7 linked regions of the Sus scrofa genome follow. The protein of the gene in region 7 purifies or fractionates together with the protein of the main gene of each other region. This does not show direct contact. Links are inferred from orthologs where the notes say so. Each region holds a gene or a part of one and is shown on either strand. Other genes may lie near its edges.

Region 1 (4,275 bases), about 20 Mb from region 7:
GGCTGTGGGGCGGGTGAGCTCCAGAGATGAGGCCTTGGAAAGGCGAGGACAGCGTACCCGCCCCGAAGGCAAGCAAAAGCGGCAGGGCCAGGCGAGGCAGCTGGGCCGGCGCTTGGCTTGGGGGCTCCGGCGCCGCAGCAGCTGAAGGGGAACAACCTGGTTCTGCCCGCCAGGAGCGAGCAGCCCTTTGGCCAGCATGAAGGCGCTGGTGTCTTCATGCCACCTCCTAGAACCCCCGCCACCCAGCGGGGGTCCCTGGAGATCCTCCCCTCCCCAGACCTAGACAGTTGCAGGAGGGGAAAGAATTTTTGTAAAAAGAAAAGGAAACCAGATTGTATGTGCATGCCCCTGCGTGCGACACGCGTGGGCGGCTGCAGAGGCTGGGGAGGGTTTCTCAGGTAGCGACGCCACCCTCAGTCTCGGCTCCGAAGGCGGTTCTCGCAGAGCCGCCCCAATAACCCGTGTGCTGTGTGACTGACGGGGGAGAAAGGGGGGATCATCCCTGTTCCACCCCACCCTGGACGCAATGCTGAGCGAGCTGGGTCTGGCGGGTGGCGAAGAGGGTGCCGGGTGTAGTTGCCCGCCAGCAACATAGGATCGAAGTTGCCCACCTCTCCCGGAGATTCAAGCATAACGTTGGAGAGGCGGAGCCGCCGCAGAGGCACAGCCCAGTCCGCAGAAAAAGGGGTGGAGCCCCAAGGGAAGAGGGCGGGGCGGGGCGGGACAGGACCGTAGAGGCGGATCTGGAAACTGCTGGAAGATCGCAGCACCGCCACTGTCGCTCCTTCCGCCGCTTGCAGACAAAGAGTGCCCTCCACACCCGAGCCGGCGACCTTCTAGCAGCGGAAGCCACGCCCCGCAGCGAGACGCTGGCACTGCCCATTGTCCCCTGGGAGTGCCAGGGTTCGCGGGCTGCCCAAAGTTCGGCTTCAAATTCCCCAGTGTCCCCGGAAAGGACCCTTTCCCCTTATTGGGCAGTAGGAATGTGTAAGGAAGATTGTAGCAGGGAGGGAGCATAGGTGGGAGTAGTTGGTCCCCTTTCAGGTGTTCCTCTGGGATTCTTTGGTGTGGAGGCACCTGCTCTACAGGTTTTTACTGAGGTCAGCGGGGATTCTGTTCCCTAGAGCCACGGCATTTGTCCTATGAGTATACCCAACATCTAGCTCTGGTGGTGTCCTGTCTTCAGGACGCGGAGATGGGACTAAGAAAAAGTCTACACATGCGCGCCCTTGCTCTTCACCGCCCCCTCCCCTATTTTGGACCATGACGTAAAGGTGGGCGGGCAGCGGCAGGTGCGGGGCTGACAGACAGCCTCCTTTAAGGCGGAGGGATCTGGGGGCGGGCAGCGAAGGTGTGCTTCGCCTTATATAAAGCGACTGGGGTCTCACAGCCGTTCTCTTGAGTCACCCCCCGCGCAGCCTTGTTCTGGCGTGAGAGCCGGAGGCAGTCCTTCCCCGCTCAGCTTTGTGGTGTTTGTGATCCTTATCCTTTAAGGTAAGGTTGCACTCTTAAGGCATTTCTGGTTAAATTTCAGGTTGCTTTCGTCCATTCTGTCCTTTCTGAGACCCAAGTTTTTGTCGTGCTGGGGCGGTTTGCTGGACAACGCTCCCAATTTTTTTAGAGGGTGGGTGGAAGGGAGCTCTCGAGTTTAGCTTTTCCTTCCATGCTTGGTGTCGGGCCTTCTAGGCGGCTGTTAGGCCTGGGCGAGTGGGGCTGGGGGACTGGGCGGCTACACGTGGTAGCCGCGCCGGCCCGGGACGCTGCCATGTTTGCCCCTCTACTTCCGGACGCGACTACGGGGCGCCAGAGGGTGGGCAAGGTTGGTGGGTGTGCGGGCCCGGTGTGACTCAGCACAGCATGGTTCTGGGTAGGTTTTGCCATCTCTTTTATAGAAGGGAGTTTTTCTAGTCCTTAGTGTGAGGGTTTGCGGCAAAGGATGCTTTGGAGCTCCAGTGGCCCATCGTGCTTCCTGCTTCGAGCTCATTCCTGCAGTCAGGGTGGAGGGGTAGCGGAGGAGGCAGGCTTGAGAATTTATGGGAGCATTTCTTCGTCGTCCTCTTTTCTCCCCGTTGGCTGGAATTGTTCTGGAAGGTTCTGGAACTCGGCGCCCCGCCCTGGTGCCCGGATGCTGAGGCGAAGGGAGGCTGCGCGGTGGCGCCCCCTCCTCGCGTGGTCCTGGCCGACGCATGTCCGGCATCGACGAGCGTCGGCCCCGCGGACTACGCCACCATCTTAGTTGTATTTGGTTTGGTCCTGTACCTCAGTCACGTGTGCTACAGGGACAGAGTGGAGCCTTTTGCTTTATCGGTTCTTTGTCTTAATGGCATCCCAAGTGGGTATCCCACGATTCTCTCGCGTTAGCCTCCCTTACCACGTGAGGTAGCAATTTCACATCTTCCTGGAGGTGAAGGGAGAGCAGTTTCAAATGATAGCCCCTTTAAGGTAAAACTGGTCTGTTTGGGGGGGGGGCTCCCTCCCCTCCACCAGAAATGGTAGAACCGTAGTTACTAATTTGTACATTTGAATATGTATGTAGGTCTTCTGCTTATTCACATTTAAGAAACCGGGGTTGGGCGAGGTACTCTGCATGCCTAAGAGATTACCAGGTGATGAGAGGCTGCTGATCCGTGGATGGATCGCCTAACATCCTAACAAAATGCTTAAGAGACCTTAAGGCATTTTGGGGGCTGTATTAGCAGCCCCCCCCCCCCCCGCCCCTCTTATTCTCAGACTGAGGGCGCAGCCTGAAGTCTTTAAAGGAAAGGTCTTGCATCTCAGTACTCGGTTCAGAACAACTTGAACTGAACCTCTTAGTGTCTTTATTGTAATTGGGGTGAACTTGAGTCCAAAGTTCTTCATCTCTCTTATTTTAGATGCCTGAGGAAGTGCACCATGGCGAGGAGGAAGTGGAGACTTTTGCCTTCCAGGCAGAAATCGCCCAGCTCATGTCTCTCATCATCAATACCTTTTATTCCAACAAGGAGATTTTTCTTCGGGAGTTGATCAGTAATGCTTCTGATGTGAGTTCCCTGAGCGTCTTCATTGGCATTTGTTTGTTTCTCGAGTACTTCAAAGAAGGAGAGGGGTGATTGGGCATTTTGTGGGTTTTATTTTTGAAGGGAATATAAACTTCAATTCTAAAAAGGTTTTGCCTTGCTTTATGTGGATAGATGGCGTACTCTAACTGGATGTACGTCTCAAGCTTCAAATGAAAGGGGTTATCAGAAATGAGGTTATCTGGGAGTAGGAAAAAACTTTTTCTATTGGATGAGGTGGAAGCAGAATTGTAAAACTGCAATTTGTATTTTCAGGCCTTGGACAAGATTCGCTATGAGAGCCTGACAGACCCTTCCAAATTGGACAGTGGTAAAGAGCTGAAAATTGACATCATCCCCAACCCCCAGGAGCGCACCCTGACTCTGGTAGACACAGGCATTGGCATGACCAAAGCTGATCTCATAAATAATTTGGGAACCATTGCCAAGTCTGGTACTAAAGCATTTATGGAGGCTCTTCAGGTATGTGGTATTTCAGCTAGGCATGCACCATTCATATTCATTGATGTTTAGTTTGCTGTTTCTTCAAAACTTGTGTTTGACTTTTTAAAACTTTTTGGTAGGCTGGTGCAGACATCTCCATGATTGGACAGTTTGGTGTTGGCTTCTATTCTGCCTACCTGGTGGCAGAGAAAGTGGTTGTGATCACAAAGCACAATGATGATGAACAGTATGCCTGGGAGTCTTCTGCTGGGGGCTCCTTCACAGTTCGTGCTGACCATGGTAGGCTGATTTTCCTGTTGGGTGTCGGGGATAGAATTCTGAGGGAACAGTGGTAAAGATCTTGAGCATTCTAATGGTGAGACATTGGTCTTTGTTGTTCAGCACTTAGTTTTCTTTTTCACTCCGTTTTGATTGACTTTCTAGGTGAGCCCATTGGCCGAGGTACCAAGGTCATTCTGCATCTTAAGGAGGACCAGACAGAATACTTAGAAGAGAGACGGGTGAAAGAGGTGGTAAAGAAGCACTCACAGTTCATAGGTTATCCCATCACACTTTATGTGAGTATGAACTGGTAACTCAATTGTCTGCTGCAGGAGACACTTGGTTTTTTATTTTCTGTAGTCTGAAATTTTCATCTTTGATACTTGCAGCTGGAGAAGGAACGTGAGAAAGAAATCAGTGATGATGAGGCAGAGGAAGAGAAAGGTGATAAAGAGGAGGAAGATAAAGATGATGAGGAGAAGCCCAAGATTGAAGATGTGGGCTCAGATGAGGA
Region 2 (3,744 bases), on a different chromosome or scaffold from region 7:
TAGAAACAACTCAAAATTTAATAAAGCTTTCACAGTCTCCTCTAAGATGATATTTGATCATTTGTCCCTGCTTTGGTTCTTTAAAGAAAAGAATTATCTGGAATTCCCTGGTGCCCTGGAGGTTAAGGATCTACATTGTGACTGTTGTGGCTCGGGTCACTGCCATGGTGCAGTTTCGATCCCTGACCCTGGGACTTCTGGATGCCACAGGTTCAGCCAAAAGCAGTAAGAATTATCTTTAGTAGTTCCCATTGTGGCTCAGTGGTTAACAAATCTCACTGGGAACCATGAGGTTACGGGTTCAATCCCTGGCCTTGCTCAGTGGGTTAAGGATCCGGTGTTGCCGTGGGCTGTGGTGTAGGTCGCAGACGCGGCTCGGGTCCCACGTGGCTGCGGCTGTGGCTTAGGCTGGCGGCTACAGCTCTGATTCGACCCCTGGCCTGGGAACCTCCATGTGCCAAGGGTGTGGCCCTAGAAAGACAAAAAGAAAAAAAAAGAATAATCTTTAATGCAAATAAGAGCAACCTGTAGGCTAGAAAATTTAGATGTTCTATGTTAGGGTTTTAACAAATATTATACAAGCTTTGGATATGAACACTTTAATGGTTCTAGCTTGAAGTATTATACAATTCTTACTGCATTGTTTTGGAAAGATAAAAGGTCAAAGGCTTAAAAGAACTCTAAATAGAGTACTTGAAATTATTGAGGAATTGAAGCCTATGTTTTTAAAAAATGTTGCCTATCTATCTCAGAATATCTTCCTCTAGACAGCTAGCTAAGCTGATTCTTTTTGAGGGCTGAAAAATTGAACTAACTGGTTTTTCCCTTGGCAGATGGTGAATGTTTACCATGTACATCAGCATTCCTGTTTCCTGTACCTTGGTAGTATCCTTGTGGATGAATATGGCATGGAAGAGGGCTGTCGGCAGGGACTACTAGACATGCTCCAGGTGTGTTTTCTGTGGGGAATATAGATGTGTTGGGCTTGGAGGGTCTAAAGGCCAGGCATTGTGTTCTTCACCATGTCTTTTTAAAAAAATTCTTTTCTTTGATTAAAGTATAGTTAATTTACAATGTTGTGCCACTTTCGGTGTGTACATTATGTTGTTAATTCTGTTGCTTCTTTATGTTTCTCTCCCAGTCATGATGATTTCCTAATAACATGAAAGTAGAACTACCTAGTGGTTCTCTGGACAGTAGACAGGCTTGCTTGGTAAAATGAGAGAGAGATTGACCACAGAAATGTGCTATTCCTTGCAGTTATTACAGCCTAATTTATGCCTTCCAGAAATAGGGTTTTTTGGGAAGGTAGGCAAATGGATTTTTTTTTTTTTTTTTTTTTTTTTCCTTTTTAGGGCCGTAGCTGCAGGATATGAAGTTCCCAGGCTAGGGGTCAAATCAGAGGTGCAGCTGTCAGCGTACACCACAGCCATAGCATTACCAGATCCTTAACCCACTGAGCAAGGCCAGGGATCAAACCCACATCTTCATAAATACTAGTCAGGTTCATTACCACTTAGCCATAACGGGAACTCCCGGCAAGTGGATTTAAATTAAAGGATTTGAAAGCTCAAGTATGATTCTGTTTTTAATTTCTTGCCTGGAACCCCCAATTAACTGGTTTACATAGCAGGGATATGGTCTTAAGATAAGTAGCAGGAAGTAGGAAAGGCTCCTGATCTGCTTCTTTTCCCTCCCTCCTAGTCATAGTGGAGAAAATACGTTAGGGGATTAAATCATATGCTGCTTTTCCCAAGATGTCTTTCCTTTTAAAACTGACATTTCATTATTGTTATTAAAACTTCATCTTCTCCCTTAGTGGACCAGACCATATCTAATGCATAAGCATTGTCTTCACTTTTAATAACTTCTAAAACTTTGAGGTGATATCTATCCAGTTTCATCAGCTAAAATCTATACCTCAACCCTTTCTGAAATGTTCTATGTGAAGACTGTGCCAACTAAGAAAGGCTTACATCCTTCCTTCCTTTCTTTTCTTTCTTTTTTTTTTTTTGGCTGCGCCCATGGCATCTGGAAGTTGCTGAGCCAGGGATCAGACCTGAGCCGCTAGTGACAACACTGGAACTTTAACCCGTTGCACCACAAAGGAACCCCTGTCTTCCCTTTCTTGATCTGATTCTCATTGAAGTTTTTTTTTTTTTTTTTTTTTTTTGGTCTTTTTGCTATTTCTTGGGCCACTCTTGCGGCATATGGAGGTTCCCAGGCTGGGAGTCGAATCGGAGCTGTAATTGCTGGCCTACGCCAGAGCCTCAGCAACTCGGGATCCAAGCCGCGTCTGCGACCCACACCACAGCTCACGGCAACGCTAGATCCTTAACCCACTGAGCAAGGCCAGGGATCGAACCCGCAACCTCATGGTTCCTAGTCGGATTCGTTAACCATTGTACCACGACGGGAACTCCTGATTCTCATTGAAGTCTTTTTCTTTTCTTATCTGTGCTTCCCTTCTCTTTGTATGTTATGCTATTTAGCAAGTCTCAATCCTGTGGCATTTATTTACAGGCATTTATTTTTAAATAACTTCTGTTTTAGGCACTGTGTATCCCCACCTTTCAGCTCTTAGAACAGCAGAATGGTCTTCAGAATCACCCTGACACCGTGGATGACTTATTCAGGCTAGCCACCAGGTCAGTGCTTCTGAAGGGCAGTCCCTTTCTTCTGCTGCTCTTCCCCATCACTGCTTAATCTTGTTACCTAACACGTAACTTCCCTTCTCTGTAAAATGAGGTAAGAAGAGTGGGTAGGTTAATGATTCATAACCCAAAAGTTAAATCGTGAAACAGAATATCTCCATAAGTGAAGAAGAGTTGGATGGGAGCAGGAGAAAGCATGAGTTCCTTTCATGAAGGTGGGTACACACCCAGGACAATAAAAATGAGCTGTCTAAGAACATTTGACTAGCCAGTCTCTAGAATCCTGTATAGTTTTAATATTTTATGCTACTATGATATCATGCTTAACTTAGCTCTTTCTTTGAGAAGCTTATCATCCTTTAGATACAATCATAGGCTTTTTTTTTTTTTTTTTTTTTTTTTTTTAATGGCTATACCTGAGGCATATTAAAGTTCCTAGGCCTGGGATTAAACCCATGTCTCAGCAGCAAGCTGAGCTACTGCAGTCAAATTCTTAACCTACTGCACCACAGCGGGAACGCCAAAAATTCTTAGGCTTGTAAGATGCCTTAGAAGTTACCTGGTACTGTACTTCCCAATTCTACCCCTAGCCTGCTACCCCCCACTTGTTCAAATTTCTTTTACATGTAACACTGACATTTGTATTTGTTCTGAGTCCCTAGCTCAGGAATTTGACCCCTATCCCTTGGTAAACATAAAAACATTATAAAATAATAAGCCATTATTAAATATATGTATTATATATGTAGTTATGTATTTTTATCATTTACAAATGTAAAGTGTTATTGACTATTTCATCTTAGGATTGAGTAATGAGCACCTTTTTTGGTTAGTTTTTAGACAAGTTAGAAAAACCTTATTTTGAGTTGGTGTGAGAGAATTGTTGGATGGGCTATCAGTCTGTTTTCACAGTGTGTTCCTTAAAAAATTAATCTCTGGAGATGCTCTTTACACAAATCGTTGCCTATTAAAATAAATTGGAAACAATATTTTATCTTTTCCTTGGAGATTCTTTAGGTACATTGGAGGATCTGAGAAAATTGAGTGGGACTTATAGAGAGTTCCCATATATTCCTAGCTTCCTCTCCCC
Region 3 (4,258 bases), on a different chromosome or scaffold from region 7:
ACAATGGGAACTCCCTATGACTTTATCCTTTAAATGTCATTTTAGTGGGGTTAAGAGGAGAAGAGGTAAATGTGTTTTGTGTATCCATGGGATTCAGGTTGCCACATTTATGCACAAGTCATTTCACAATGTTTAAATTCTGAGTGTTCTGCCTCTCCTTATACAAAGAGGCAGCTCTTTTCACTGCTTAGAACTATATTCTTGGACTAGGAGTTGGGTGAGGCAAAGTGTGACAAAAGAATAGAAGATACACACATTCTTTCCAAAAAATTACCTTCATTTTGATTCTCAGGTAGAGAAAGAGTCATTTTTCCACCGTGGGATTTCCATCAGCTACTCTTTGGAAAAGCAGGCAAGTCCAGCTGTCTTTCTTATGGTTTTATGTATTTTGGCTAAGGGAGCTGGAGGGCTGGGTGGGGTGCTCAGGAAGGTCAAAAGATGGAAAAATCTGATTCATAACTCATACAAAGTCAGTGCTAGGCAGGGGCAGTAGAGATTACTGAATTCAATTTCCTTTTTTTTTTTTTTAAATGGAAGCTGAAGCCCAGAGGGCTGTAGTTGATTTGAATAGACTTTGGTCTCTTGGGAAATACTTCTCTCTAATGATCGTTAGAAAATGTCACGTTATTAGTAGTCATTGGCCCTTTGAGTGCTCCAAGGCTGCCGGGCCCCTTTCTGTTCCTTGGTCAAAGGTCTTTTCAGAGGGCGTTCTTCTCATGACCAGTCTGGTTTTTTGCTCTTGTTGCCTTTTTGGTTTTTTGGTAGCACTCGTTAATTTTTAAAATTATGTAATTATTTTATTATTTATCTGGTTTTCCCTGTAAGCACTATGAGAGAAGAGATCTTTCCTGTCTCGTTCGCCACTCAATCCTCAGAGTGAACCGGGATTCGAACCTAATAGTCTGGGTCCAAAATCCGCGCTTTCAGCCACTACATTATGCTCTTATTTGGTGAAGAAAGCAGAGGATGGGCTTCTGCGTTCCTAGGCAAGCAAGAGGGCAAGAAGACATCTCCCTACTGGGAGAAACGAGCAGGTGGAAAACATCCGCACCCAAGCGAGCGGCGCCCCCTCTTGACCTTTCTCTCCGGAAGCGCATGCAGGCCTCCGCTGCGAGTGCGCACGCGCGGCCGCCGGGGGTCGCTCTGGGTCGCGCGCGGAGCGGGGACGTGAGGGGAGGTTCCGCCCCTGGGGCAGAAGGGCGCCTGCGCCAGCGGGGCTCGGGTCGGGACGCGCAATCTCGCTCCCTCCCTCCCTCGCCTGCGCGCGCGGGTGGGCGTGGGAGGAGGCGGGGAACAGGGGAGGGGAGCGAGGGGGCGGGTGTCGCGGGAGGGACGGAGCGAACCGTAGAGCGTCGTCCTGAGAGGAGTGAAGGCGGCAAAATGGCGGACCGCTTCTCCCGCTTCAACGAGGACCGAGACTTTCAGGTAAACACGGGCGTCGCCGAGGATCCGGGGAAGGCGCTGGCCGCGCCAGAACCTCCTCATCCCCTGCTCCCAGCTCTCCACCCCCACCCCCCCGTTCTGCTCCGGCTTCCGAACCGGCTCCCTTTTCTCCCGCGTCCGATTCCTCCAGGGGCCTCCTAAGCTTGAGGCGAGGCCGCATCTCCTCTCAGCTCGTATTCTTACCTCTTAATTCAGGCGGCAGGGTTTGCGGCCTCGGTCTGTTCCGGCTGCGGCTTTGGGAGCCCCAGCCTGGCGGCTGAGTGGGGGGCTGTGCTGCCCTCGGGTGTGCCGGGCGTGTGCGGGCGCTAGGTTGGCTCCCAGAGGCAAAGGGGGGGTGGGGTGGGGGTCAGAGGGCTTGGGGCGAGTGTTGCTGAAACCAGGGCTCCCGAACCCCTGGATTTTGCTCGTACGGCTCTTCTTGGGGTTCTTCTCCCTCTTTCCTCACTGTAACAAATAAATCCCTTTCATTGTCTATTTTATCATTTCCTTGCCCGGAAAAAAGGGGCTTTATTTATCAGATGCCTTCTTGGTTAGTCACACAATGAGATTTTCCTGGGCGAAATGTTGTTGTTGTCATTAGGCCGTTAATTGGCCTTGCAAAACAGCTTGGAAGATGGTCGATGTAAGCTTAGCCCCAAATCCTACCTTGAGCGATTTGTAAGAAGCGTCATGATAACGGACTTTACAAGCAGATGATGACTAGTATCAAAGGCTTGATTTTTCTTTCCAAAGTTGCAAATGTTGTCTGGAAAAATGTCCTTGCCATGGCAGGCGTTATGGAGGAAAAAATAAAGGCCAAATGAGAACAACACGTCTTTCGGCTGTTTCGAATACCTTCCTGTTGAGCATTGTTACCGCAGAAATCTCTGCGACTAAAGGGCATTTGGTAGAGATGGGCTCTTTCTAGGGTAAAAGACATCCTCAGAGTCTCAAAGAAACCACTGCATTACTACCGCATATCCCAGCAACAGCAGTTTGGGTCTGGGGATGAACAACCGAACTCAAGTTTTTATCCCGCTGCAGATCTTTCTCAGCAACACGGGGATATTCTAGTTTGGTTTCAAAAGGCAGTTTGAAATGGTTTGAATTCCCCGGGAAGATTGGGTTGGTAAATAAACAGGTAAAGCAGTTCAGCCAACACTGTTAACAGTCTAATGCATAGAACGCTAAATGAGAAGTTTTGCAGCAGCAGTAAGGGATCTGGGGGCTGTCGAAAAGCCTTGTGATCAGGCGCCTGCTGTATAGCTGCAGCACTACACAAGATCTCAAGGTGTTTGAAGATATTATGCAAGTCCAGGGAAGTTTGAAGTAGTTCATATTAGCCGTTTCCCTGGGACATGATCTCTGGAAAAGGTGGTGGGTTTGGTTTTGTTTTTAGGGAGCACCATAAAACATGAGTAAGCTGCAGGATGTGTGGGGTTTATTGGTAGTTTTTAAAGAGACGGGTGACAACTAAAACCCTCAAATACTTTTAAGAGGAGGTAATTTGAAGGTCACTTAGTAAAATTGAAAATAGATAATATGGACAATTAAGTTTTGTGTTTGTCAGCCACAGGATTTCAGCAGTCTTAAACAGGATTTGCAGGGCCTTGACAGTTTTTGAAAACTGGAGAGCAGAGTATGAATGTGGTCACCTGAAAAAATCGAGAAAACCTCTATTTTTTTTTTTTTTCCAAGTAAAATGATTCTCTTTTCTGTTGCTTTAGTGGAGACCTGCTTTTGGTTGCTTGGTAATTCTTTGAAGATACTACATGTATTTTATTTATTGCTTTTAAGTTGGAATACCCAATTCCTACTATATTGTGTCAGCCAGGTAAATGTTGGTTTTTTTAAATTCAGACATCCTAGTATTGTGGGTAAATACGGTGTTGGTAATAAAAACCTTTTAGATAATTACAGAATGTTAGAACTTTCTATTAATTGTGCTAACATTTCTGAAAATCACTTACTTAAAAATACTTAAAAGTACTATTTTTTCATGGATGTTTTAATGTAGGGGAAAATGTAGATTGATTTTCATTAGTGATGTTACTTGATTTAAAATTATTGGAGAGGAGTTCCCGTCGTGGCGCAGTGGTTAATGAACCCGACTAGGAACCATGAGGTTTCGGGTTCGATCCCTTCCCTTGCTCAGTGGGTTAACGATCCGGTTGCCGTGAGCTGTGGTGTAGGTTGCAGACGCGGCTCGGATCCCGCGTTGCTGAGGCTCTGGCGTAGGCCGGTGGCTACAGCTCCGATTCGACCCCTAGCCTGGGACCCTCCATATGCGAGAGCGGCCCAAGAAAATGGCAAAAAGACAAAAAAAAAAAAAAAATTGGAGAGAAAAGATGCTTCTGTATATAGAGTATTTGAAACATTGTTCAAGGTCAGGCTATTCAGAATTAACTGTGGCCTCCTTTTAAGGTTTTAAGTGATAAATGAGATGACGCTATGGAGTACACTTGAAAACAAATCCAGAGTAGGTTTCCAAACAAAGTGCACAGATGCTGTTGCTTTAAACAGATCTTGTAGCACTGGAAATTTTTCTGTGCACCTTTTCTGGTGAGTTCTAGATGACTATCACTGTCTTTGCCTTTCTGTCACATTTTGGCAAGATAATTTAGAATTGTAGAATTTTATTCTTTGCCAGTTTACCACCAAGTGCAAAGTTTGGGGAGTTTGAATGTTGTCACTTGAATTTAGTATGGACTCAGAGATGGGATCACTATTAGATGTTGTGAACATCTAAAGTTTCAAAGGTGTTTTGTATAGTGAGGAGCTTAGCTGGTATGCCACTTGAAGCACTTTATGAATGTAAACAGATCTTGTAGCACTG
Region 4 (4,348 bases), on a different chromosome or scaffold from region 7:
TGGGCTTTGCTGTAAACTATGGTGTAGGTTGCAGATGCAGCTCGGATCTGGCATTGCTGTGGCTGTGGCATAGGCCAGCACCTGCAGCTCTGATTCAACCCCTAGCCTAGGAACTTCCAAGTTTCACGTGCAGCCCGAGAAAATAAAAAATAAGAAAGATCTAACTATCCGAAAGACCTATTCTTCCAGTTTTCCCATAGCACAGAGTGCCTCACTCCTGGTTTCCACCCTGAGCTCTGCTTAGTGGGTTCTGCAGGTCAGCAGCTGCCATGGCTCATGGTTTAATCCACGTAGAGGCAGATGGCAAGTAACCGTAAATGCGAAACTCCAGTTCACAAGATTTAACTTACATAAGTGACTCACATTATATTTCTAGCCTCTGAGACACTGCTGTCCCAGAGCCTACTCCGATTTGTTGTGCGAAATAACCAATGCTATAAGACAGATGAATGGGTGAATTAAGACAGACAGCCTGGGGAGTTCCCACTGTGTGCAACTGGTTAAGTATCTGGCCTTGTTACTACAGAGGCTCCATTCCCTGCGGTCTCCAGGGTTCAATCCCAGGCCCAGGAACTTCCACCTGCCTCCGGTGGGTGGGGGGCGGGGCTGGGCGACAAAAAGTCGGGTAGGGGGGAATACAGTCTCCGCCTTCCACGAGGAAAATGGATACAGCATTGCCCTAGAAGTTAGGAGATGTGAGTTCTGGACTTGGATATACTGTAAACACTGTGTAGCCTAGGACAAGCACCGCCAGACTACAGGCATCAATTTGTCCATACATCTGGCACTTGATCTCTGAGGTCTAGGAGTAAGCGGCTAAATGGCAGAGAAAGGCGGGGAAGCCTGGTACAACAGGACTTGTTTCCTATCAGGCTCCAACCTAACATGAGAGCTTGGACCAAGAGGAGGAGACAGCAGGAATCAGAGACTAGACGCCCCGAACCCAGCGCGGGTACCACCGGCTTCCTCGGGCCGACGTCACCGGGGCGCGACGGCGTCTTCTGTCGGGTCCCCCACTCCAGGCAGCAGCGCCTCCGACGGTCCCTTCGGTGAAGGTGAGTGCCGGAATAACAGAGAGGCAAACGGTCCTCGAGTCTCTCTGAGACTCCGATCTCACTCCACCACCCTCTGCTGCCCTCCCTTTTACTTCACCCTTATCGGGCACAGGAGCCGAGAGATAGGAGCAGAGCTACCATCGTTCAGAGCCGAACCTCAGCGCGGCTGCGCAGGGCACGTGCACATCCTCTCGGAGTCCCGGCGATTGGCTGTGACGTAACTTCCGGTGTGAGCGGCGAAAGCCGGGAGGGCGAGCGAGAGAGAGCAGGCAGCAGGCAGCAGGCGGGCGGACGGACGGCACGAAGGGAGGGAGCAAGTGAGCAGTGAGTGGGCCAGCGAGAGCGGCCGCGTCCCGAGAGCAGCCGAGATTCCTCCCGTCCCTCTGACCCTCTCCCCGGAGCCCACAGCGCCTCCGGTCTCCAGCGGAGCGGACACGGCCCGGCCCGGCCATGGCCTCGTTGCTGAAGGTGGATCAGGAAGTAAAGCTCAAGGTAGGGGTACGGTCCGGGCTTCCTTACTCCTTGCTTCGATCCTCGAGCTGTCTGACTGGCTCCCTACTCCCCATGGCGTCTTTGTCTCCCTGGGGACACCAGCCCTGAGCTTCCGCTCGGCTCAGCCCAGCCCCCCACTCCCAGAGATGGCATCGGGGGAGACGCTACTATGGGGTGGCCTTCTGTACCCTGTCTAATGGTGGAGAGCCCCGGGGAGACTTCCGCGGACACGTGGTGGACTTAGTGCTTTAGGCCAGTGACAGCTGGAAGTCCCCCCAGCCCAGCAACGTCCCCATCTCTGGGCGCTGCTACTGCCCCTGCCCTTGGCGTCAGGCCTGCCTCACATCCTAGGCCAGGTTTGTATGGGGGTTGACATGTTTGTGAGCTCACGCCTCTCCCATCTACCTGTCTTTTGTCTGCTTTCAAATTCAGACAAGCTACAGACAAAGGGAGGGAGGGAGGGAAGACAGGTGGGTGCTGCCCTCCAGCCCCGCTTCCCTCTCCTGAGATGGAGAAATGGATCCTTAAAAAAATAAAGTATTTGCAGTCTGGGGGCCTCTCAGCTTCTCATTACAATTACAAGGTGAGGGAAAGACAGTTGGATTTGGGTTTCCCCATCCTGCCCATACTTCTCTTGCCAGGTACTGACTTGCTCTTACTGAATTGCTTTCTTTGTTAATTTTAGGTTGATTCTTTCAGGGAGCGGATTACAAGTGAGGTGAGTGAAAGAAGTAGAAAATCGAGCATTGGTTAATGGTTGGGAGTTCTCCAGAGAAGAGATGTCTGTAGAGACAGACCTTCCCTCAGTTACTAATTCAGCTATATTTTCCCTCATCTTTAGGCAGAAGACTTGGTGGCAAATTTTTTCCCAAAGAAATTGTTAGAACTTGATAGTTTTTTGAAGGTGAGAGACCCTTTTCTTTTCCTCAGAGTCCCCAGTTTTTTTGGCCCTGGTCTTTCTGTCAAATGGGACAAATGACGTGTTGATTCTATCTTGTTTTGTGCTGTAAAGCCGTCTTCATATGTTGCCCTTGAAATGAAATACTTCTTTGTTCATTTTGAAAAGACTGATGTTTTGGGGGTGGGCGTCTCTTTTCAGGAGCCAATCCTAAACATCCATGACCTAACTCAGATCCACTCAGACATGAATCTCCCAGTCCCTGACCCCATTCTTCTCACCAATAGCCATGATGGACTGGACGGTGTAAGTATCCTGTATTTATCTCTGTGTGTGTGCCGAAGCAGTAGGCGCTCTGTCCTCAAGTCTCTGGTCAGCTTGAACGTGTACAGGGGTACAGGGGACAGTGGGATTTGGATCTGGGAATGAGGATTCTTTTTTTTTTTTTTTTGGCTTTTTGCTATTGCTTTGGGCCGCTCCCGCGGCATATGGAGGTTCCCAGGCTAGGGGTTGAATCAGAGCTGTAGCCACCGGCCTACACCAGAGCCACAGCAACGCGAGATCCAAGCCGCGTCTGCAGCCTACACCACAGCTCATGGCAACGCCGGATCGTTAACCCACTGAGCAAGGGCAGGGATCGAACCCGCAACCTCATGGTTCCTAGTCGGATTCGTTAACCACTGCGCCACGACGGGAACTCCCGGAATGAGGATTCTTACAGACATATGACTTTGGTACACCCCCTTCGGTCCCCGGTTTTCATTTGTAGCATGTGTTAATGGGTACTCTGTTAGAGTGAGTTGAAAATAGGGCTAATAGTGACAAGGTCCCTCAGGTTACCTGGTCTGTCACCATGGCTCTAGGCAAGACTTTTCATCCCTGTTTCAGTGTCTTGAGTCTTGTTATGGGAGGGGGCAATTGTTCTTGCTATATAACTGCAGTTCCCCGTCTTTCTGTATCTTTAGCAACTAGTCTTTAGAATATGTCCACATTCTGTTATAACAATGATGACCCCATATTGTTATTTATCTGCTATATATATTGTTATTTATCCGTCGGTGTCTCATGGGTAGAACTTGCACTTTTGGAAAGGAGAAACTATCTGAATTATCTTTGTATCCCCAGCACCTAGCATTGTTCCTTGCAAGTGCTAAATACATGTTTGTTGATTGAATATTCTTTGTGGAACAAGCACATTTGTTTATAATCCCCTTAGTTATACTCACTCTGCATTCAGTAGTTCATTCTTTCTGTTGTTCATAGTATCCACCCCTCCCCTGGTTGCCTAATGTGTTATATTTCTTGAAAAGTTGGTCTTTCCAACTATAGTGTAAGTTGCTTTGTGGGAAGAACCTTTTCTTAAAGCTTTGTGTGTGCTTAGTGAATTGTGGGTAAATTAATAAGACAACCTGTGAAGTCAAGGTAGGGATTAAACTTGCTAGAAGGGTAACTTGCAGTGGGGATGTGAGTGTCGAATAGGCTGATTCTTGTCTCTTTGTATCCTTAGCCCACTTACAAGAAGCGAAGGTTGGATGAATGTGAAGAGGCCTTCCAAGGTAAGAGCCACCTTCACTGTCCCCTACCCCAACCCTTCCTGGCTTGCAGCCCTGAGAAGCAGGATGGATCTGGTGCTCTCCTGTCCAGCAAGCAGGATCTGATTTTATTTCCTAGCATTAGCATTCCTAAGCTCTCCAGACATTGTCTAGTACTCTAAACCTAATTTTCCTTTCCTCTTTTTTTGTCTTTATAGGGCTGCACTCACGGCATATGGAGGTTCCCGGGCTAGGGGTCTGATCAGAGCTGTTGCTGCTGGCCTACACCACAGTCACAGCAATGCCAGGTCTGAGCCGCATCTTCGACCTACACCACAGCTCATGGCAACGCCAGATCCTTTAACCCACTG
Region 5 (3,744 bases), on a different chromosome or scaffold from region 7:
GTTTAAGTCATATGCAATTTGATAATTTCACTGCTTTGAGGCTTTTTTCTCCATTTTATGTAACATTAAAGGAACTAGTAATGTTTGACCCAGAAAAGGAGCAAATTAGGGGGAACATGGCAGTTGTCTTCAAACAACTGAAGCATTGTCTGCTGAAGAGGGGATTTGGCTCCGTTTGTGTACGTCCCAGTGCATCGAACCTGTGTGTGGAATTTACAGGGGGATGGATTTCAGTTCTGTCTATTTCAGTTCTGTCAATTCTAAGAACTATTATACTAGTCAGATCTGCTCCGAGGCTTGGCTGCCTGGAAGGGAGGGCAGTGATCAATCTTGAAATAAGGATTGGTTGAAAATCTCCTGGGTATGGACTGTAGGTTCCATTGCCAGTTGGAGAATCATGTTAGGTGGGCTATAAGGACCTGTCATGTTCTGAATTATTTACCAGGAAATAAGGGTGAGGGGAAGAAAGCAGACAGCCAATAGAGGACGAGAAAAGAGAGCTACAGCTAAGAAAGGGCACATGAATGTCCAGTATGTCTCTTCTGTCCCTTAGAGTTCTACATAGTTGACATTTTTTCTGCCAGAGACATTTAAGAAAATGTTGGCTCTCTTTCCATTAGAGTTCACTCTGTAGCACTTGAATTTTTGGCATTTTTGGCGTAGTCACAGAGCCAAAAAATTACGAAAACAATTATGTTTCTGTACTAGGTCTCTGGCTAGAGACATTGAGTAGTGCTTAATCAGAAGTGTCCAGGTTGCGGGATTTAGGTGGCAGCAACAGCTTCTGTCAGTTGATCTGGTTTTCTTTCTAGTGAATTAAAAAATTCTCTTACTGTTACCTTGAACTAGACTTCAGCTACAGTAGGATTTAAGCTGAGACTATTTTCTTGTTCTGCATGTTTGGATTTGTTTTCTCAGCTTACATTTTTGTCTTGACTAGAGAAAAATGTTTCATGAACATTCTCAGCACTGGAGTTTGAACTCTTTTCACCCAGGATCCCTGATTTCCAGGGAGGGGTATGGTCACCTGGGTAAGAGCGTGAATTTTTGCTGTCAGGCCTGGATTTGATTCTCATCTCCATCATTCACCACCTTTATCACCTTAGACAAGTGACCTAACTTTTTTGGACCTCCATTTCTTCAGCTGTAAAGAGATGGTATCTAGGGTCAGTATGAGCATAAAAGAGATACTATACATTTAAAGTATTTAGTAGGTAGTAAGAGAGTAAATGGTAATTAATTCATTTTTGTGCTAGCAGTAGAGGCTTCTTTTTTTGTTATTAGGGGTCATCTTGGAATAGACATTGAGTAGTGTAGAATATGTGCTTCCTTGTTAGGATTTATTTCTACGAATAGCTCATAATGTATGAGTTATTATTAACATAGAGTTAATTCCACAGTTCTTCAAAAGGAAAGAAACCAGCAAAGAAAAGCAGGAAGGTTTAGTTTAAAAGAAGTAATACACATACACATGCCTCTGTCTTTATTTCCTTCTCCCCTCCTTTCTTTCTTTCTTTCTTTCTTTTTTTTTTTTTTTTTTTTTTGTCTTTTTGTCTTTTCTTGTGCTGCTCCCGTCGCATATGGAGGTTCCCAGGCTAGGGGTCCAGTTGGAGCTGCATCTGCCGGCCTACACCACAGCCACAGCAATGTGGGATCTGAGCCGTGTCTGCGACCTACGCCACAGCTCACGGCAACGCCGGATCCTTAACCCACTGAGCAAGGGCAGGGATCGAACCCGCAACCTCATGGTTCCTAGTTGGATTCGTTAACCACTGCGCCACGATGGGAACTCCCCTCCCCTCCTTTCTAAAGGAAGAGTCAGGGATTTGAGTCTTCTACATCAACATATGCATAAAATGGCTGAGGTTATTATAGGAATGAAAAAAAAGACAAAGACTGAGGATAGAATACTAAGTGGCACCGATGGGGAGTTTACAGGGAGGAAGGACAGGAAGAGATGAAGGGAGGTGTCGGTTTAGCAGAGGGCAGAATACATTGAACCTGAACTTAGGCGATCTGGTTCTTCTAGCCTCCACTTTATCCACTCGTGGTTTGAGTGCCTCTAGGTGTATCCCTTCCCTGTTGAACAGACTAGACTCATCTCTAAGCCTCCTTGAATACCTGCGTTTCTCCTTTCTGAATCTACTTGGAAGTAAGGTACAGGTGAGTAAAGTAGTGTCATGTCCCTGAAATAGGAATTTCGAGATGGAACAATGTCAGATGTTATAGAAATAATGGAGGATAAGAACTGGGAAAAAGATATGGAGCTCAGGAGGCCAATTTGTTTAGATGAAAGGGACAGAGAAAAATCTGGGATGTAAGAGTTTCTTTGGAATGGCCTATCATGAGAGTTACTCTAAGTTTTCACGGTGACTTTGAAGATAACATAGATGGTTAATGAAACCATCTGATACACGAGGAAAATGTAATCATGTGCTTTCATCAATTACCTGTAAATTATTTGAAGACTGCTTTAGTTCAGGGTTGAAAGGAATTTGAGTAGTCTGTTGCTGGGGGAAGACAGAGCTCAATCTTCTTGTTTCTATGTAATTTTAATTGCAGTTCTCACTTGAAATATTTTGTTTGTTTTTTGTAGACTTCTTGTTCCATTATGGATGGAGGGGATGATGGTAACCTTGTTATCAAAAAGAGGTTTGTATCTGAGGCAGAACTAGATGAACGGCGCAAAAGGAGGCAAGAAGAATGGGAGAAAGTTCGAAAACCTGAAGATCCAGAAGGTACATAGGCTTATAGTCTGGCATTCAACATAGTGATCTTTAATCCTGTGCAAAGTAGGTATTCACGTCTTCATTAAGTCATTAATTCTGCTGTAGAGTTGCTCCGTCGCTGGGAGCTGCCCCAGGATCCTCACATCCTTGCCCTTTGCACCTATCACACTGTCTTCCAGGAGGTTCCCCTAGTCTCTTCCATCTATACAGGTGGATCCAGGCTCTGAACAGCTGAGAGTGTTGCTACCATGTTGGGTTTGGGTGGGTGCCTCATCCAGTTAACCGGCTCAGGCCGGGGCCTATTGACATTGATAGTTGGCTTTGAGAACTGCTGGCCCCTCTCTGAGGTCCAAAGGGTAGCTGTGGACTTTGAACTATTTTTGTGTTATCTTTGCCATCAGATCGTGCAGAGACTTGACTTTATCTTTAAAAATCCTTTGTGGCTCCAAAAGAATATGAAAGTATTCTAAAGTATATGTTTTGGTTTTTTTTTTCCTTCTCCCTCCCTTTCTCCTGCCCCCTTTCTCTCCCTTCCTCTTTCTTTCAGAATGCCCAGAGGAGGTTTATGACCCTCGCTCTCTATATGAAAGGCTACAGGAACAGAAGGACAGGAAGCAGCAGGAGTATGAGGAACAGTTCAAATTCAGTAAGCTTCAAAAAACACAGCATCCAAGCAACTGTATAGGGCCTTTTTGGTGCACTTTTGCCTCGTGCAACACTTTCTAACTAGCCATGGAATTGTCTTGATTATCTAATCTCTAGAAGCTCATTTGGTGGAAAAGAGATAACTTTGTACCATCTAGACTACAAAGAACATTTTGTTTAGAACTCAAGAAGCCTATTTTAATTCTATGCTAATATCTAGTAGTGGGAGAGAAGCCTTGATTTTATGCCAGGTTATCTCTCCAAAAGCCACAGTGTTTACAAATTCTTTCTTCTAATCCCCTGAAGGATACACTGTTTATTAAAAAAAAAAATCTTATTGGACTGTATTTTCTCTTTAGCCTGCTAAGTG
Region 6 (4,528 bases), on a different chromosome or scaffold from region 7:
GCTGAGTCTCCTGGGATCCTGTTTCGCTGGGGCCAGGAAGTTCCAGTATCCGCAGCCAGGTAGAGACCCCCGTGTATACCCGGAATCCCCGACATCCGGGGTTCTCCCCACACACCTTCAGCCCAGAAGCCGGCCTGAAGCCCTCAGAGGGCGTACAGGGGGGACTTTGATTTTAATGGGGGGTACCTGACTTTTCTGGGGGACAGGAAAACTCCCTCCGTCTTAGCCCCCTCCCTCTTGGGCGCCAGGTTCCCCTCCCCACCGCAGCTTTTAGCCCAAATCTTACCTTGCAGGGGGACTGGGGAGGGGATGCCCCGCCCTCTCCGGCCTGGGGGGCGGGAGGGGACAGGGGTGTCCAGACCCTTTGTTGTTTGCTGGTGTGTGTGTGTGTGTGTGTGTGTGTGTGTGTGTGCGCGCGCGCGCACGCGCGATTGTCAGACCTGAGGTGTGGGTCCGTGCGCGCGCGAGCCCAGGCCGTGACGGCTGCTGAGATGCTGGACTGCCGGGGCTGGAGAGGGAGGAGGAGGAGAGGGGGACTCCCCCGCCCCCGCCCGCCTCCTTGCCGGTTTGAATGAAGCGTGAGGGGGAGGGGAGGCAGCGGGCAGGAGCTTTGTCAGGACGTGTCCCCTCCCCTTCCCCCGACTGGGGAATCCCCTCCCATCCCCCCTGCGCCCCCATTTAGAGACCTTTACTCCTTTCTCTCCAGCCTTTTCCCTCCAAACGCCCACTCTGGGGGAGTCTGGAAGAGGCGCCCTTCACGCAAGTGGTTGAAGCTTCTCCCATCCCCCACGCCATCGGAGCATCCTTTAATCTGAGATAATCCCGGCCCTAGGCTGCAACGCGGCCTTTTATCCTGGTATCAAAGCGTGGGTAGGGATATATGAAAGTGTGTGGCTGGGGTCGCTCAAGCTCAATGTAAGAGTCCTTAGAGCCCAGGACCAGAAAAGGGGCCCCAGACGAAAGGGGAAGGCCTGCTAGCGGTCCTAGAGCACTACCACCGGGAAAGATTCCCCACTTGGTGTGAGGCCAGAAGCACTGGCCGCTAGTTAGACATTGGTGCCACCCAGCGGCCGCACGGGGAGACGCTGTGGATCGGCTCCCGAGACTAGTTAAATGAAGTCTGGGTGATTCCGAAGGGGGGCGCGCGAATCCCCGTTCAGGAGTGGCAGAAGCGAGGAGGAGGCTGTGGTTCGAGCCGGGGAAACACCAGGCCCCAAGGCAGAGCCACAGCACTCCCATCACCTCCAACCCCTCAAGGGCAGGGCCATATCCTTCCTTCACTTAGACCCTCCCAGGACAGGGTCCTGTACCCCTCGGACTGGGAAGGTCCTTCCATATCAGACAACCTCCCCAACACAGCTAAATCCCCCTTCACAAGGAACCCAGCAGTGGGCTAGGGCTGACGTCACTGCAGCGTGGCTAAGAGGACAATCCTCTCCCTCAGGCTCGCCAACTGCTCACTTACGGCCGCCGTAAAGGCCCACTATGCGGCGGCAGGAGATTAGCGGGGCTCGAGGTTGGAGAACCCACTCATATACCCCCCAGGAAGTGCCCGAAGCAGGATGGGATGAGGTTTGAGGGAGAATCCCAGGAGTTGGGACACGTGCGCAGGGCTCTTTAAGAACTCGGTCGCCAGGGCCGCTGCCAGGGTTACTAAGGATGTGACGTCACGTGCGGGCGGGGGCGTGCGCGCCCAGACGGAAGCGGAAGGGGCGGGGCTCGGCGGTCCGAGTCTCCGTGCTGCCGCTACCGCCGCCAGAGTCGGAGCTGGCTGGGCCGCCAAGGCAAGATGGTGGACTACAGCGTGTGGGATCACATCGAGGTGTCTGACGATGAAGACGAGACGCACCCCAATATCGACACTGCCAGCCTCTTCCGCTGGAGGCACCAGGTAGAGCGCGCGCGGCCAGCCCCTTCCCCCACTCCCGGGTCTCTGCTTCAGAGTTCTGACTTCAGATACTGCTAGGAACCCGGCCATGGACACCTGAGATTCCCACCCTACAGTCTGGACTTTCAGTAGCGCCCAGGGTTCTTCGATTCAACTCCGGGATCCCAGAACTTCCGGGACCCTTGAGTCCCTTGCCTGCTATCCGAGCCTCCCCCTGCCGATTTCTTCTTGGAACTCCCAGTTCACCCCTAGGGCACCTTCTTCAGAGTTTAACTACCAAGACAAGCTTTGGGCTTCCCCCCCAGTTCCGTTTGGGACCTTCCATTTACGCTCCGAATCTTACCTCAGAATCTTGACCCTGATCCTATTCAAGTACCCCCTTGTGATCTTGGACATCCCATGGGCCCCTCCCAATCCCTAGAGTTCCCAGTACTTTAAGTTGTAAGTCTGTTCTTCGATCGGCCTTTCTGGGTCCCAGTGGTGATTCCCGTTTAGATCCAGAAATCCTCTAAATACAACAAGGAATTCTGTCCTTCCTTGAGATTTCTGTTCCTGGCGTGGGACTCCAGCCCACACCCAGGACCCCTTTCCTGGAACTTAAACCAGTGCCCATCAGTATCCTTAGTCCCATCTAGGACTGGCATTTTGAAACCTAGTTCCCTTTCAGATTGAACCACCAGCTCTACCCTTGATGGAGCTTCCAATTCCGGCCACTCTCCTTCAGCCTCACATACTGTAGACCCAGTTTCCCATTATGTCAGGAAATCCTACCCACGTGGCTTCCCCCCAGCTAGAGCCCCTGCCCCTGCTTGGTACTGCAGACCCAGTCACCAAACTCTCCCCCCCACCCAAGACAGGCTTCCTGTAGGAGTCAGCTTTGGAAAGCCTCATTCAAATGCAAGTCCAGGACCCAAACCCACCCCTTCTTCCTTCTGACCCTAGCATGGACTGCTGATCTCAGACACCCAGAGTGACCCTGCTTTTACCAGAAACCCTCCCAGTCTGATTCCAGATTCATTGCCCTACTTTTACTTATTCCCCAAATCCAGACTCCAGGATCCCAAAGTCTGTTCTCTTGCCCTTCTCCCACCCAGCAGTGTTCACAGGCCAGCAAAATAGCCCTCCTAAGATGTAATGTTCTAGCCTCCTGCTCCCCAAAATCAGAGCTCCGGCACCCACATTCCTGTGCCTATGAGACTTTGAAACTCAGGGCATATACCTCTCAGAACCTTCCAGTTAGGAATTCCTCACCCCATTTTTCCGTGTATCAGCTCCCAGTCCTTTTTCTAGAAACTCCTAGAAGGGCTCTTCCCCTTCCTGCCAAGACACAGCATGAGTCCCTACATCTGCTACCCAGTGCTAGTTCCAACCCATTCCTTAAAGCAGCAGTCTCCTGGGTAGTGTCCCTGCTGGGCAAGCCGCTGGAGTGTAAGAAGAAAGTTCTAGCACTTCTCTCTTTCTTGCCATGTGTAACATTTTATCATGAAATATTTAAGATCTCTGCAAAGCTCTGAAGACTATCCTCAGGAACATGGATTACTGTCACATAGTCAATCTATGCCACTGTGTGGTGGATGTTCTGGTCCTGCTGGGCGGCAGGCTAGTGCCCCCTCTCCTACCTCGTCTTCCTCTCACCACGCCCTTCTCCCTCCTGGCCAAAACTCTTTCCTGGCCTGCTACTGAGAGTTCCTGGGCAGCGGTGGAGAGGGTCGGAGGTAGAGAGCCTGGTGTCTCCAGCAGCACCAAGTTCAGTGGCAGGCAAGCCTAGGTTCTTATCCCAGCCCTGCCACAGGACACTGGTGCTTTACTCTAGGGGGAGCAAGACCCCCACCTCCACGAGTCAATCATAGGAAGTGAGTAAGCATTCCAGAGGGAAAGAGGGGATTCTAGAACAAATAGCCTGGAGTGCTTCTGAGCGCAGGCCTGCCCACCTGGGTTCAGATCCTGGCTCCTTCAGAATCACAGACTTACTGCCTGGCAAGTTGTTTTTTCTTTTTCTTTTCTTTTTTTTTTTTCATTTTTGGCCACCCCATGGCATGTGACGTTCCCAGGCCAGAGATCAGATTTGAGTCGCAGTCGTGACCAAAGCTGCAGCTGTGGCACTGGCAGATCCTTGACCCACTGTGCCAGGTCGGGGATTGAACCAGAGTCACAGTGCTCCCAAGATGCCACCTGTCTCGTGCCACAGTGGGAGCCCTCCCAGTGAGTTTGGATTGCTCTGTGCCTTCATTTCCCCAGCAGGGAATCTTCACAGTATCTACCCCATAGGGTTGTTGTGAGGATCACCTTTTGTATTTAATGTGTGTTAACACTCTCAGGACAGCACACGGATGGAATAAGTTCTGTGGAGACTTTAGTTTTTGTCATCGTTTAGGTCATTCACACTCATGGTAAAAAAAAAAAGAACCTCAAGATTCCAGAGGGGACAGGTGAGTCCTCCCAGCTCCAGCTCCCTGCCTCCCTGGCTCCCTTGCCCAGAGACAAATAAGTACTGGTTTCTTGTGGCCCCTTCCAGTGAGCTTATGTGGCATCAAGGTTCTGGGAGCCTCGGTTCCCTTATGTATAAGGCAAGGTGTCAGTGACACCTGTGGCCCCTTCTCACTGCTGGGGCTTCTGCCCTGCCCAGCTGGGTACAGCCCC
Region 7 (4,255 bases):
GCTCAAGCCATGCCGTCAGACCCCAGTTTAAGGGGGAACTAGAGGTTAGAGACTGTAGAGGCCTCGCAACTCCGGAGGGGTCGTTTCCTTTTGGAATCCGCCTCAGTGGCTGGGAGACTAGCCGGATGTCAGGGGCGTGACCAGCCCTCGCTGCGGCGAGGGCGGAGGCGGGGCCGGGGCTGGGGAAAGGGGTGGTGACAAGCAGGCCCACGCGGTGCTGGGGAAATGCTGCAGCCTTCGCAGTTCAGTCCCCGGGAGGGGCGGGGCCCGGAAGGATGCTGTGTCCCTCCTTCTTGGGCCCTGGCGTGGCTAGGGGGCAATTAGAGGCCGCTCCCGCCCTCTTTGACCGACGCCAGCGAGAGCCGGGGGGGGGGGGGGGCCAGGGAGTGCACGCTCATAAACCGCGAGGTCTCCCAAAGGACCTGACCTCGGTTTTCTCATCTGGAAAAGATGACCTCCTTATCTCCCTATGACCAAGAGCGGGGCAGTAGGTGGCCGGGGCTTCGGTGAGCCCGCGCCGGCGGCGGGGGCAGAGAGGTCACCAGGTGACTCCAGGGGAGAAATAGGAGTGAGGGGGGCCGCGGGGCTTTTCTTCGGCGGGGGTGGGACGCGGGTGGTTATGAACTAAGAAACAACTCTGGTCTGCTCACTGCCGTGCCCAAGAATGCTCAAGGAAAACGAGACCCCCTTTTACCCCAGAACCCGTCCCTTTCCCTTCAAAGGCCCCGCCGACGTGACTCTCCAGTATCTTCCCAGAAACTGCAGTGCACATACACCGGGCTTGGACGCGCCGCCATGACTTTAAAAAGCTCCTCCACACATGAATAAGGTCTCATTTGCTTCTTTCACATCAGCGGGAGTCGGGAACCTCCTTCCCGATCCTCCGTGGGCTTTAGCGCCCTCCAGGGCCTCGAGGCCGGGCTGGCGCTCAAGGCCTACCCAGTTTTCACTTGAGGCGACAGCGAAACAATGCCCTCCTCCCGGCGCTCAGGAAAGGAAAGGCCAAGCGGGCTTGGGCGGGGTCGGGGCTCCACCTTTCGGCTCTCAGCGCCTGTCCACCGGTGCCCCCCGCCGCATCTTTGAGGCCTACGTGCCTCGTGACACGGCAGGGGGCGGGCCGCGGCTGGGGACATCCCCTCGGCCCTCCAGGAACCAGGTTCCACCGCCGCCGCAGCGACCCAGGTGGACAGGGCGGGTCCTCCAGAGTCTTCGAGTTCACGGCTAGAGGGGCCAAGTCGCCGAGCTCAGTCGACCGACGGCTGCGTCACGGGAGGGGCGGGCCCGCCACGGGCGGAGGCCGGAGCCGGAAGCGGAAGAGGCGCTCGGAGCGGGGAGTGGGGCCTAGCCTCAGCCGGAGCCTGGGAGACGGTGAGTGTGGGGCCCTGGCCCGCGACGAGGAGCGGGGGGTTGAGTCAGAGGGGCGGGTACGCTGGGTGTGGGTCCCCGGGCTTCTAGTTCGGGCTTGGTCTGCTCTCTTTCGTTCTCTTGGCCCATCTCAGGCCGCGGCCCCGACCTCTCACCCCTGACCTGCCGCTTCTCCCCCAGAGGGCGGTCACAGCAGACCCCAGTCTCTCGATCCTGTGCGTCCGAGTCCGAACCTGTGAGAGGCCCCTGAGGGCCCTGCAGGGATCCACCTTCGGCCCTATACCTGCCCGCGGAATGGGGTCAGGGTCCTACCTGCGACAGCCTGGAGGGGCTTTCAGACCCCTCCCCTAACCCTGGCTCGAGGCTGGGTCGGCAGACTCCTCCTCTCCGCGCGGCTTGGAGTCTGATTCCGGCCCAAGCTGGCTTTCCTCCTGCCCGCCTCCCCCACCCCAGGTCTCCCCTCGCCTCCATTGGCGGCGGTTACCAGGAACCCGCCTCAGATCTCTGGGACCCGCGGCGTCAGGAAGGACGCGAGCGAGGGCTGCGGGCCCCCTGATTGTTTTGTTGTGATGATGGAGCCGCTCCAGCCCGGAGGAGGGGCCGAGCCAAGCTGACAGTACAAATGCCCGGGCTGCTGCATGGTCCAGGAGTCTCTGTGCTTTAGTTCCGGGTGCGGGTGTCCTGGTGTGGAGCTGGGGTGGGAATCGCCTGAGCCAGGGCCCCGTTGAGGCGGAGTTGGCGGCCTTCCAGCTTCCCTCCTCCATGCCCTTGAAAAGGAGGAGCGTTTCTCCCGGTGGTGGCGGCTTGCAAGGTGGCAGGTTTGAGGTTGCAGTGTTGGGGCAGCGTCAGCCAAAAATAACCATGGGGCGCTGGGGTGGCTGGGATCCGGCAGGGCTGCCGCTGACTTGGCTGGCTGCTCTTGTCAACCCAGTTCTCTGGCCAGGAACAGCAAATGAGAAGACAGCTAGGCCTGTGCTCAGAGAAAAGCTGGCATCCTCGCCCTGGTTTCTTTCACATTACCTTTTTCTTAATTGTGCCAAGCAGAGCCTTCTGGAACGTAATTGTGGCCCTTGTTTTTCTTTTACAACCTGTTTGCTGGGGTCTCAGAGAATCAGAGATAATTGAGGAGAAATGGGCCCTAGAACCCTAGCTGGGAGGATTATGAGGGGCATCTGGTGTTACCATTATTTCACCTGCCTAGAATGTGTTAAAACAGGGGAGATTATGTCCTCTCTGATTGCCTTGCGTGTGATACTTTATATCTCTCATATTTGTCATTCCCTTTGCCAACTTGGCTGGGAGGTGGTCATATCTCCATTTTCCAGATATTGTAACCATGGCCCAGAGTGACTTGTATAAGGTCACAAGGCCAAGTGGCAGCACTGGGATTTACTTTAGGTATAGGGTTTTCTACCTATACCTCTCTCCCCTCTGCTCCCTTGGGACTTATGAACTACCTTTAATGCTTTTAAGGCATTTAACATAGACCCAGAGGTGTTACTTGGAAACTTTTTAATGAAAAGCTGCCTTCAGTATCTCTTGTGACCCATGCTAGGCATTTGACCCAAGGGCATGTACTAGGCATGTTACTTTAAGATGTGACATAAACCCTGTAAGTGATTACTGTTCCTTTGTTGCAAGAGGAAGCTGAAGGGTAGAGGTGTTTAATAACCTGCCTAAAGGCACAAGCTAGAAGTGGCCATGTCAGCATTCATGTTGACATCAGCGTGACTGAAGCTGTGCTCTTTCCACTAACATGAACATGTGTGCACTAAGAATCTTCTAGGTCCCAGGAAGGAGTCTAGCCTGATACGGACTAGACCCCGTGACTTCCAGCTCTGGTGCTTTGCCCAGTGAGGATGGGCAAGCCCTTTGCCCTGGCCACTGAAGCATCTTCCATGTCACTTAGTGACACAGATGTGAGATACCGTCTTCATCCCACAGCTTGGTCACGTGACCCAGCCTAACTGGGGAGAAACAGTGAACATTAGTCAGCTGATCACCAAAAGAGAGCAGCAGTCTGAGCTCTTGAGGAGGTGTTACAAAGTATTTATCTGGAAGGATTGCTCAGGCCCAGCCTTCCTATGGAGGCAGTGTCAGGGTTTGGATTGTGGGTGGAACAGGGAGCTGGCCTCACATACCCATCTTTCTCGTTTGATGGCTGATCCAAGATGGCAATTTCCTGTGGTGGCTGTAAGTCCACACTGAACCAGGGATAGGGAGGTGGGGCCCCTTTGGCCTGCTTTCCCAAGCACACAGCCTGCCAGACAGCCGATCCTCTAGTTCCTCCTGAAATTCAGAATATAGAAGTGGGGACAGTAGTGGGATAGAGGTGAGGCACTGCCTGGCATGGCACCAGTGGCAGGTGGTCTGAGGGTGCTAAATAGGTTTCAGGCAAGAAACTTGGTTGCTCTGAGGACTTTATTGATGCTGAGACTGAATAGAGACCATGAAGGGCTGGAGAGACCCCCATATCTGCTTGGCCAGACCCCAAGGGATGTTTGTGGGGCCCCGTGTACCTCTTTCTCCAAGGGCTGGTCTTCTCGTTTCTGCCAGTGGCTCCTCACACTAAATTGTGGTCCTTGCTCCCTTGTGTAGGGTCCAGTTCCAGAGCCTCAGCCAGACAACTTGGCTTTTCAAACTTGAGGACTTTCACCCTTTGCTCCTGTGTGTTGACTCCTGCCAGCAGCCTTTTGACTCTGGCCTCTGGCTTGACAGAAAAGGCACTTCCTAGGACCCTACAGACAGGCAGGAGGGAACTGAGCACAGGAGTCTCCCTTTCTTCTTGGCCCCAGACTCTTGTGAAGGTGCTCACCAGCCTCTCCCTGCATTCTACCTCAGCACTTGTCCTGGCTTGCCCAGTTCTCCTAGTGCTCAGACCACCAGGCCA

Evidence for each region.
Region 1: the proteins of CLK3 (region 7) and HSP90AB1 purify together in Homo sapiens (affinity purification with mass spectrometry; 3 studies listed by BioGRID and IntAct, with this or other methods). This does not show direct contact. The link is inferred for Sus scrofa from reciprocal best matches to the Homo sapiens genes CLK3 and HSP90AB1.
Region 2: the proteins of CLK3 (region 7) and TNPO3 purify together in Homo sapiens (affinity purification with mass spectrometry; 4 studies listed by BioGRID and IntAct, counting the BioPlex papers as one, with this or other methods). This does not show direct contact. The link is inferred for Sus scrofa from reciprocal best matches to the Homo sapiens genes CLK3 and TNPO3.
Region 3: the proteins of CLK3 (region 7) and GPATCH8 purify together in Homo sapiens (affinity purification with mass spectrometry; 3 studies listed by BioGRID and IntAct, counting the BioPlex papers as one, with this or other methods). This does not show direct contact. The link is inferred for Sus scrofa from reciprocal best matches to the Homo sapiens genes CLK3 and GPATCH8.
Region 4: the proteins of CLK3 (region 7) and PSME3 purify together in Homo sapiens (affinity purification with mass spectrometry; 5 studies listed by BioGRID and IntAct, counting the BioPlex papers as one, with this or other methods). This does not show direct contact. The link is inferred for Sus scrofa from reciprocal best matches to the Homo sapiens genes CLK3 and PSME3.
Region 5: the proteins of CLK3 (region 7) and FAM192A purify together in Homo sapiens (affinity purification with mass spectrometry; 3 studies listed by BioGRID and IntAct, counting the BioPlex papers as one, with this or other methods). This does not show direct contact. The link is inferred for Sus scrofa from reciprocal best matches to the Homo sapiens genes CLK3 and PSME3IP1.
Region 6: the proteins of CLK3 (region 7) and CDC37 purify together in Homo sapiens (affinity purification with mass spectrometry; 4 studies listed by BioGRID and IntAct, counting the BioPlex papers as one, with this or other methods). This does not show direct contact. The link is inferred for Sus scrofa from reciprocal best matches to the Homo sapiens genes CLK3 and CDC37.

The regions. Positions count from the first base shown.
Region 1 is NC_010449.5:39,242,522-39,246,796, forward strand, and holds the start of HSP90AB1 (heat shock protein HSP 90-beta), read left to right. Parts: upstream 1-1,252; 5' UTR 1,253-1,494; intron 1,495-2,873; coding exon 2,874-3,020; intron 3,021-3,311; coding exon 3,312-3,518; intron 3,519-3,619; coding exon 3,620-3,779; intron 3,780-3,923; coding exon 3,924-4,057; intron 4,058-4,150; coding exon 4,151-4,275. UniProt on the Homo sapiens protein: Molecular chaperone that promotes the maturation, structural maintenance and proper regulation of specific target proteins involved for instance in cell cycle control and signal transduction. Undergoes a functional cycle linked to its ATPase activity.
Region 2 is NC_010460.4:19,648,883-19,652,626, forward strand, and holds part of TNPO3 (transportin-3), read left to right. Parts: intron 1-833; coding exon 834-950; intron 951-2,553; coding exon 2,554-2,648; intron 2,649-3,744. UniProt on the Homo sapiens protein: Importin, which transports target proteins into the nucleus. Specifically mediates the nuclear import of splicing factor serine/arginine (SR) proteins, such as RBM4, SFRS1 and SFRS2, by recognizing phosphorylated SR domains.
Region 3 is NC_010454.4:18,775,239-18,779,496, forward strand, and holds the start of GPATCH8 (G patch domain-containing protein 8), read left to right. Parts: upstream 1-1,265; 5' UTR 1,266-1,380; coding exon 1,381-1,425; intron 1,426-4,258.
Region 4 is NC_010454.4:20,032,503-20,036,850, reverse strand, and holds the start of PSME3 (proteasome activator complex subunit 3), read left to right. Parts: upstream 1-1,504; 5' UTR 1,505-1,505; coding exon 1,506-1,547; intron 1,548-2,040; exon of another isoform or gene 2,041-2,055; coding exon of another isoform or gene 2,056-2,130; intron 2,131-2,232; coding exon 2,233-2,265; intron 2,266-2,388; coding exon 2,389-2,451; intron 2,452-2,646; coding exon 2,647-2,751; intron 2,752-3,952; coding exon 3,953-4,001; intron 4,002-4,348. UniProt on the Homo sapiens protein: Subunit of the 11S REG-gamma (also called PA28-gamma) proteasome regulator, a doughnut-shaped homoheptamer which associates with the proteasome. 11S REG-gamma activates the trypsin-like catalytic subunit of the proteasome but inhibits the chymotrypsin-like and postglutamyl-preferring (PGPH) subunits.
Region 5 is NC_010448.4:19,140,751-19,144,494, reverse strand, and holds part of FAM192A (protein FAM192A), read left to right. Parts: intron 1-2,029; exon of another isoform or gene 2,030-2,163; intron 2,164-2,596; 5' UTR 2,597-2,611; coding exon 2,612-2,738; intron 2,739-3,276; coding exon 3,277-3,375; intron 3,376-3,744. UniProt on the Homo sapiens protein: Promotes the association of the proteasome activator complex subunit PSME3 with the 20S proteasome and regulates its activity.
Region 6 is NC_010444.4:69,210,077-69,214,604, reverse strand, and holds the start of CDC37 (hsp90 co-chaperone Cdc37), read left to right. Parts: upstream 1-1,695; 5' UTR 1,696-1,789; coding exon 1,790-1,891; intron 1,892-4,528. UniProt on the Homo sapiens protein: Co-chaperone that binds to numerous kinases and promotes their interaction with the Hsp90 complex, resulting in stabilization and promotion of their activity. Inhibits HSP90AA1 ATPase activity.
Region 7 is NC_010449.5:58,906,624-58,910,878, reverse strand, and holds the start of CLK3 (dual specificity protein kinase CLK3), read left to right. Parts: upstream 1-1,262; 5' UTR 1,263-1,368; intron 1,369-4,206; exon of another isoform or gene 4,207-4,255. UniProt on the Homo sapiens protein: Dual specificity kinase acting on both serine/threonine and tyrosine-containing substrates. Phosphorylates serine- and arginine-rich (SR) proteins of the spliceosomal complex.